Callithrix jacchus: one gene and its partner. The protein of the gene in region 2 interacts with the protein of the main gene of each other region in a biochemical or structural test. Links are inferred from orthologs where the notes say so. Each region holds a gene or a part of one and is shown on either strand. Other genes may lie near its edges.

What was found. The genes of interacting proteins can lie anywhere in the genome.
Region 1: the proteins of RIPK1 (region 2) and CRADD form a complex in vitro, tested with the Homo sapiens proteins (2 studies listed by BioGRID). The link is inferred for Callithrix jacchus from reciprocal best matches to the Homo sapiens genes RIPK1 and CRADD.

What each region holds. Positions count from the first base shown.
Region 1 is NC_133510.1:96,739,911-96,744,593, reverse strand, and holds the start of CRADD (death domain-containing protein CRADD), read right to left. Parts: upstream 2,965-4,683; 5' UTR 2,710-2,964; intron 2,475-2,709; exon of another isoform or gene 2,314-2,474; intron 1,631-2,313; 5' UTR 1,625-1,630; coding exon 1,327-1,624; intron 1-1,326. UniProt on the Homo sapiens protein: Adapter protein that associates with PIDD1 and the caspase CASP2 to form the PIDDosome, a complex that activates CASP2 and triggers apoptosis.
Region 2 is NC_133505.1:27,558,251-27,562,170, forward strand, and holds part of RIPK1 (receptor-interacting serine/threonine-protein kinase 1), read right to left. Parts: intron 2,437-3,920; coding exon 2,299-2,436; intron 317-2,298; coding exon 88-316; intron 1-87. UniProt on the Homo sapiens protein: Serine-threonine kinase which is a key regulator of TNF-mediated apoptosis, necroptosis and inflammatory pathways.

The DNA.
Region 1 (4,683 bases), on a different chromosome or scaffold from region 2:
ATATGAGGTCCGTGAAACAAAAACAGTAAAAGTGGTCTTATTATCAGTATTCATTTTTTTAAAATCAGTATTTAAAAAACAGCAACCACAAAGTCTGGGGCCCACTGAACCAGAATACTTCTATCACTGTTATCAAAAACCCCAGAGAACCTTGATTCTCTAACTTTGTTAAAAACGTGCAAGTCAACTTTCAATTACTCTTTTTTTCAATGTTTAAGTTCAGTTCTCTGCTCCTTCATCTTTGTAAAACAGAGCCAAGGGAGGTTAAGAAAAAGCAAGTGTTTCTATATCATGTATTCTTCCTGCTATAAGCCAGGCTAACAGAACCAGAACTGTTTCTCTCTTCTCCAGCTTCTAATTCTCCTTCAGATCAAACTGAGACCCTCCCCAAACTATTGCTTTCCATAAAATTAAATACTCCAGTTGTCTGAACTAAGCTAAACTAAAAAGGACACTTTAAACGAATAACCTTTCAAAACAAACCAAGTCAGCCTTCAACATAATCCCCTTTGGCCACACAGGACAGCCCAGGGGACAGGTGCAGGACATGCCTTCCTAGAGGCTATCTCCTCCTCCATGAATCTGACCTTTTCCAGCTGGTAGCTCTGGCACCTCACAAATCAGTTGTCAGTAGGCCGAATGCCTGCTTTCCATCTGCGCTTTCCAAATGGCTCCTGATGCCAACGGCTGAGATATGACCTGGCTCTCTGATGGGAACATGCTTCCCAAGTGACATGCCAGGTTTCCCTGGAAGCATTTCTAAATGCATTCTCTGAGCCCCCCTCCTTCACCTCCCAGTCACGGTTCATTCTTCCTTCCCACCATTTCCTAATGCCACCTCTTGATCCTATGCCTCCAATATCATGTCCCTTCAGTCCCAACTCCTTACCCACTTTCATCAACTGCTGACCCTTGTCCTGCCTTACATCTCAACTTCAAATATGAAGGGCATAGTTCTGGCCAGGCATGGTGGATCATGCCTGTAATCCCAGCACTTTGGGAGCCTGCGGTGGGTGGATCACCTGAGGTCAGGAGTTCAAGATCAGCCTTGCCAACATAATGAAACCCCATTTCTACTAAAAATACAAAAATTGGCCCAGGCACAATGGCACATGCCTGTATTCCCAGCTACTTAGGAGGCTGAGGCATGAGAACTGCTTGAACCCAGGAAGTGGAGGTTGCCCTGAGCTGAGATCATGCCATTGCACTCCAGCCTAGGCAACAGAGCGAGACTGTCTCAAAAACAAACCAACCAACAAACACAAAACCAAAGGGCATAGTTCCAACGTTTTGGAGCTGCTTCGAAGTGATCTTTCTGAGCCCTACCTGCAGGCAGGCTGGTCATGGCTTCTTCCCTTGCCTTCTTCAGCTTCTCCCTGACCCAGGGAAATTCCTGTAGGGAATCTAGGAATGTATCGAATGCTTTAGGGCCCCTGGAAGGTAGGATGTCCAGCAGCAGCATTGTTTTCCGGAGGCCTGTGGTTTGAGCATTGATTTCTTGAACATGGTTTTCCGTCAAGACTCCTTCCTGGTAGAGGTACTGAAGAACCAGTCCCTCCACCAATACCTCTGCACCCAGCTCCAGGCGAAGTGAGCGGAGCACTTGTTTGTCTCTGGCCTCCATTTCTCCCTGGAAAAAGCCGAAATCACAGCTCAAATTACAGACATGAAATGTAAGTTCCTTCAGGTCAGGCATATCTTCAGACCGTAGCAGAGTGCCATATTTAATACACGGGTGAAGCCAAGTTAATTTTGAACGTTTCCTAACATAATGAACAACACCGAAAATGAATCATCTTTTCTGTTTCTGCTTTTAGCACAATGGGGTCCCGGCTCAATCAATAAAGAAATTTAGAAAAAGAAGAAAAAAAAAAGTGGGTCAGAGACCCTTCTGAAAAAGCACTTTTTATCTGAAGATCACAGAGCACCATTAGTTTTAACAAGCTGGGGAAGAAATGGTGTTTTTAACATTGCCCTCATCAGACCTGCACCACCACCATGGCAAAAACTGCCACACTGGACGCAGGTGCCCTTTTGACCGCAAGTATTTGCAAAACCTGATCAGTAATAGGAGTGCAGGACAGAAATCAGCAGCAGGTACAGAGTTTAAGGCTCTTTTTGCTTAAAGTCCTCTACACTATCACCCTCAAGAAAAAGGTTGTTTTGTGCCCAGTCTACAATAAAACTTACACAATATACAGTCACAAACTCCATTCCTTCCCACTAAGAATTCAGAATCTGTAGCACATTATCGTGGCCACACCTGCATGGGACATTTTATGGGATTTTTTTTTTCTTTAAAAAAAAGCTCACATCCAGCACTGGTCAGTAGTCAGGCACGAGTTGAAGGTGCAGTTCCACCACCGCTGCACCAGTGTGCTGTGGCTTGGTTGTGTGTAAGGCAGTGAAGAATAAATGACAGGGAAGGGAGGTAGGGATGACAGATGCGGCTTCAGACACCCCCAGGCAGTACTACTGCTGGGCGACACCCAATCCCACACTCCCCCTCGCAACCCTGTGAAGTTCGGGAGGTGACAGGTGAAGAAGGGAGGTGTTCACATTTGGCCGTGAGCGCCCATTGGTAACTTTTTAAAAAATTCTCGGCCTCGGCCGCTGAAACCCTTCTATCAACAGGAAGAACTATGGGCGGTTTCTGTGGCAACTCGACCCGCTAAAGAGGGAGTGCTGGGAATAAACTTAAGAGCTGACCAAGGGGAGAGCGGGCCTCCGGCACTGCCGCAGCCACCCAGCCTTGGCCCGGATCGGAAATGGGGAGCAAGTTGGGGGGCGGGGAAGCCCCCGCAGGCCCAGGTCGCAGATGCTACAGTGCAGGACTTTCAAGAAAAGATGGATTCCTGTTACTTACGTCTGCAACCACGTATCTTTGGGGCGGGGGAGAAAAACTGCAACCGGAATCCTGATTGTTAGGGAACCTGCATCGTAAGCACCATCTTTGTTAAAGGCGAAAACCTTAAACAGGAAGTGTTGACGCCATCTTTGTTGAGGGCAAGCACAGGAAGTGCCGTCGCCATTTTTATTGAGCGTTCGAGGGTCGGATTGAAGCTCTTCCCGCCATGTTTACTATGGGTAAACATTCAATCGCGGGGAGCTGGACAACAGTAGCATCACTTAGAGGATATCTAAGTAATGGAGTAATTGGATATTTGCATTTTAACACGGTAACTCCACCAGGGCCTTGCACACAATTGACATGCCAAAGAGTCAGGCCAAAAATCACCCTAGGAGGAAGCCTTCTCTGACCTATCTGATTAAAACGGCAACACCTCATCTCCTGCACTCCCCATTGTCTTAACCAACTTTACTTTTTACATATCACCATCTTACTAAAACTTTTCACTTATTTGTTTATCCCTCGGCTTCACTCCATTAAAAGGCAAGTTCATTGCTTTATATCGAGGGTTCCTGCCCAAGAAGAGCTTACAAATCTGTCGGTCAGGATTTCATTGCAGCACTCAGCTAGTTAGTTACTCCTAGTCAGAAAGGGATTTGTCAGTGGGGATTGGAGACATTAGAGATCATTGGAAAGGCTGGAGAAAGGCTGAATATCCACGGATGACTACCTGGAGAAGAGTGCCATACTGGTTCCTGCCCACAATCAGGAAGATGGCGTCAGGAAGTTGGCATTTCTTGTCCCCAGCTTCCTTTCAACACCCGACAGAACAATCAACAGGACACTGGAACACTGCTGCAAAACACCGTGGTCTCGACAGCTGCATTTGCTAGCAGCATGAAAACAGCACCTGCAAATCTTGCTCTGTTGTGTGCAATTGGTGAGACCAATTTCACATGCAGAATATTAGCAGCAAGGATGTCTAGAGCGTGTAGCTTTCCAGCTTGTGAAACAGGAAAAGGTATACTAAATGAGGGAAGGGCTGATACTAAAGGCCAATCTACTGCATCCACCACATTTTCAATTTGGAAAGCAAGACAAAATGCATGACCCAAATATAGAGAAACACAGGGATGTCAAATTGAGTGTCCTTCCTCACATTCCTTTGTGAAGTGGGCCAGTCAGTCAATAAATACATTCATTGATTCATTTTAAAATCAGTTGGATGATACAAATGGAAAGTCATGTGCTTACTAAAACTTAGTTGACAGTACAGGGGGAAAAACTCCTAAAATATTATTTCTGCCAAAGTTTTCACAGCTAAAACCTTTGGTGGAAAATGAAAATGTCTTTGTAAGCAAATCAATGGAGAACAGTTCTGAACCTCCCTCCTCAAAACCTTCTAAAATTGTATTCAATTTACAGTGTTACTATGCCAGTTACCATTTTACTACACCATTAATGACGGTATTTTTACTAAGTAGCGAGTATTACTACAGTCATTCATTGCATAACAACATTTGGGTCAATAACAGACTCCATATATGACAATGTTAAGAGCAATAGGCTATGCTCTATGGCCTAAGTATGTAGTAGGCTATACCATCTAGATTTGTATAAGTACACCCTATTTTGTTTGCACAATGATGTATTTCTCACAATGTATCTTCATTGATATAACTGTATTAGCATTTTGCATGTGTAAAGACTGTGTAATCAGAATGGTCAATTGGCTTAGCCAAAATCTCACAGCAAATATAGAGCAAAACTTGAATTCTAATGAAGTGTCTCTGATTTCATGCTCTTTCCAGTACTCCATACAACCCTGTATA
Region 2 (3,920 bases):
CTATAAACCACCACTGACTTCACTGAAGCCATTATTTCATGTAACAGTGTTGGTTCATATCAAAATCGTACTCTTCTAATGCCTTACTCTCATATGGCTCCTTATTTGCAAATATCACCCAAAGTACTATGGCAAAGCTGTACACATCCGACTTCTCTGTGGGCTTTGCATTGACGTCGTTCAGGTGCTCAGGTGCCATGTAGTAGAGGGTGCCGCCGTTCTTCTTGGAGGTGCTGTCCACTTCCCTCAGCTCATTGTGCTCCTCTTTAGACAGTTTGCTCCACGACTTACAGGAAGCAAGGCCGAGGTCTGCAATCTGCAAAAGAGAACGAGCCACTGTGATTGTTTGGTGAAGACCACAAGCAAATCAGATTTGACTTTAAATTTGGGGTTTATTCAATATACATAAGATATGGTAAATTTTCCAGAAATGGTTGCACTGGGCAGGTTAGAAACAGTGACTTTGCAATAGACTCACAGAAACTGTCTAGCCAGCCATTTGTAAAATCTCCCCCAAGAAATTGTTTACATGAAATTCTGGTATCACATTCCTTATGCAATAAATGGGAGGGGAAAAGCAGAAGACATTTCTGATAAGAACAGTAACAAGCAAACATATTTATCCTAATTCCCCATTGACTCTGCATATGGTTTTCAACTATTTCTGGGGGTTAGGGGAAACATGATTATTTGCTTCTCTGCACATTTATGTAGCAGACAGTGGCTAAGTACTACACCTTCTATTTCCCCAAATGGCGTCCAGAGGCCCATGAATGCGAGTGTCTAGGGATCCCAAAGACACACTGAGGATAAGGACTGCAGTGTTGCTTGTTTTGAGTCGTGGCCTGAACCTAAGGGAAGATGGGGTGGGAAGGAGGAGAAAAACACACAAAAAAGCAGAGAGAAAAATACCAAGGTCAGATACAGAACAAGAACAGAGGTGGCGGGGCAAAATTACAGAGCCATATAGTTAAGAAGAGAACAAGGGTGTCAGTTCCACTTCTGCCTCCAGGGATCCAAGCAGGCACGTGGGGATTAGCTGTGGCATGTGATTGCCAAAAATGCACAGATTCTAAGCCACGACATAAGAGGAAAGTCATGAATTTCAAGATAGGTTATGAATGAGTAATTTTTATTCCCATGGCTTTTTTTTTTAAAAGACACGGGAATAAAAATCTGCCCAAGACTAGGACAAAGTGCTAGACGCAGAACCTGCTGGTGGAGAGAGGCCCGTGTGTCAGCAGCTCCTGAGTGCCCCCCCGCACCGAGTGCTGCTTCCCCTTCCGCTTCCCCTCTCAGAGGCCAGTGCTTGGATTCTTGCTGTGAAAGCCAATTAGATATGACGCTACCCCTAGCTAAGTCCTGCCCTTAAATGAACCAAAGAAAAATCCTTTTCCCTTGTTCCCTTTACTACAATGGAAAGAAGGTGGTCAAAGTTTTTTTTTTTTTGAGATGGAGTTTAGCTCTGTCACCCAGGCTGGAGTGTAGAAGCGTGACCATGGCTCACCGCAACCTCCACCTCCCGGGTTCAAGTGAGTCTCCTGCCTCAGCCTCCCAAGTAGCTGGGATTACAGGCACCCACCACCACACCCAGCTAATTTTTGTAGTTTTGGTAGAGATGGGGTTTCACTGTGTTGGCCAGGCTGGACTTGAACTCCTGACCTCAGGTAATCTGCCCACGTCGGCCTCCCAAAGTGCTGAGATTACAAACATGAGCCAGCACGCCCAGCTGGAGACTGATTTTTCAAAATACAGACAGAAGTAAACAATTAAATAAAAATATAAAACAAAATGTCAAAGTAGAGGTTTTTGATGCCAAAATGATCAACTCACTGCTTATCTCAATCTTAAGGCCACATCTGAACTCTAAGGATTTTCTGCACACATCTTCACATTCCCCTGCATTTCCAGAGGAGGGGAGACTTGGTGACACAGATTTCCTGGGGAAAATCATGGTGCCAGTGGCCCATTCCAGGATGAAAAAGGCAACCCCTGAACGTTTCCATCTCAAGTCTAACAGAGGAGAAAAACAGAATCTAGGAAAGAGGTCTTCTTACCTACCCCATTCAATTCCACTTTTTCCCGAAAGATACGAGTTATCCTGACAGTTATCTCCGGATCCCATCACACCTGCATCTTTCCTTCCAAACACTGGCAGAGCCTTTCGGCACCATCACCACCAGTCATAAGCTGAGCTAGGTCTTCCTTTAGCTTCTACAATTTATAAGAATGAATTTACATTGGAGAATCAAAACTAAAATCACCCAACTTTCTGGAAGCCTACCAATGATGGTTTACCTTAATGTGGAAGTCATCATCAACAAGGATATTTTCAGGCTTCAGGTCCTTGTGTATCACGCCTTTTCCATGTAAGTAGCACATTCCTTCAATGATTTCCACAATGATCCTTCCTTTTACCGAAAGCGGAGTACTCATCTAAAACAGGTGATATTAAGTCTATGAAATGGAAAGGTAATCAAATAGGCCAAAGCAACTGTTTCATGAAAGGGTGGTGGGATCTGAGCCTGAGGACAGGGTTACCAGGTTTCCCTCTAGCAGATGCACCATGGCACTGCTGTCACTGGGAAACAAGATTTCATTCCAGAAGAGAGGGGGCAAAGGTATTCATGTTGTATTTTGTTCTTGTAAAAACAAAATCCCACAATCATTTGGTAATGTATAAAATACTATGAAATTAAGCTCCTTGAGAACAAAAATATGTATTATTTAGGACTGTATCCTTAGAACCTAGGATTGTACCTGGATTATTTGTTGAATGGATGAATAAATATACGAACAAGCATTTTTAATGGGATACTCATATGATGTCATACTAAGTTTACAGTAAGAACATGAACAATGCCATGGAAATGTTGTGTGTAAAAATAACATTAAGAGGAAAAAGAATACAAAGGAACATGGTGAAACCCTGTCTCTACTAAAAATACAAAACTTAGGCATGGTGGTTTCATGCCTGTAATCCCAGCTACTCCGGGGCTGAGGCAGGAGAATCACTTGAAACCGGGAAATGAGGGTGGCGGTGAGCCGAGATCGTGTCATTGCACTCCAGCCTGGGCAACAAGAGCGAGACTCTGTTTAAAAAAAATATAGCATGATCACCACCATACAGAAAGTAGCAAAAGAATGTTTTCCCTTCTTCCTTGGAACACCTTGGAACTTAGGAAAAATTTCTGAGCAAGCAAAGTTGGTCCCCTCTCTCTTCTCTTTCTGCTTCTCTCTCAGGTCCTCTTGATGTCCTGACTGAGTCCAAACACTGCACCTGAACTTTCCCTGATCCTGCAGAATGCCCAAATGATTTCTTGCTCATCTCAGAAGCTAAGCAGGGTTGGGCCTGGTTAAGTAGTTGGATGGGAGACCAAAACTTACTTCTCAATCGAAGGTTTACTTCAAACAGCTGATCTCTAGTTCTGGGGAGGAGAGCAATCTGATCAAACTACAATACCATGCGTGTAAGTCTCACCTCTTCTCCTTCCCAAAGGCATTTCTGTGAGATGTCTGTTGACTTGGCAATTGTTGGGTGGGAGAAGAAAGTGGAAAAGTGGGAGTATTTGCCATAAAGGCAGCCACCCCACCCCATGCCCTGTGCTATCTATGCTCTAGCCAAACCCAGGAATTTACAGTTGCCCAAATTTGGCAGTCTCTACATAGTATTCTCTGCCTGGAACTTTTAGTCCCTAATTCTCTGCTTCTAAACATCTACTTGTGCTTCAGATTGGAAGACTTTCCAATCTATCCCAGACTGAGTGGGTGCCTCTTCCGTAATCCCACAGCAGATGATGAGTATGTCTATCAGAACACCACTGGCTGGGAGCAGTGGCTCATGCCTGTAATCCCAGCACTTTGGGACACTGAGGCAGTCAGATCATGAGGTCAGGAGTTCAAGTCTGGCCAATATAGTG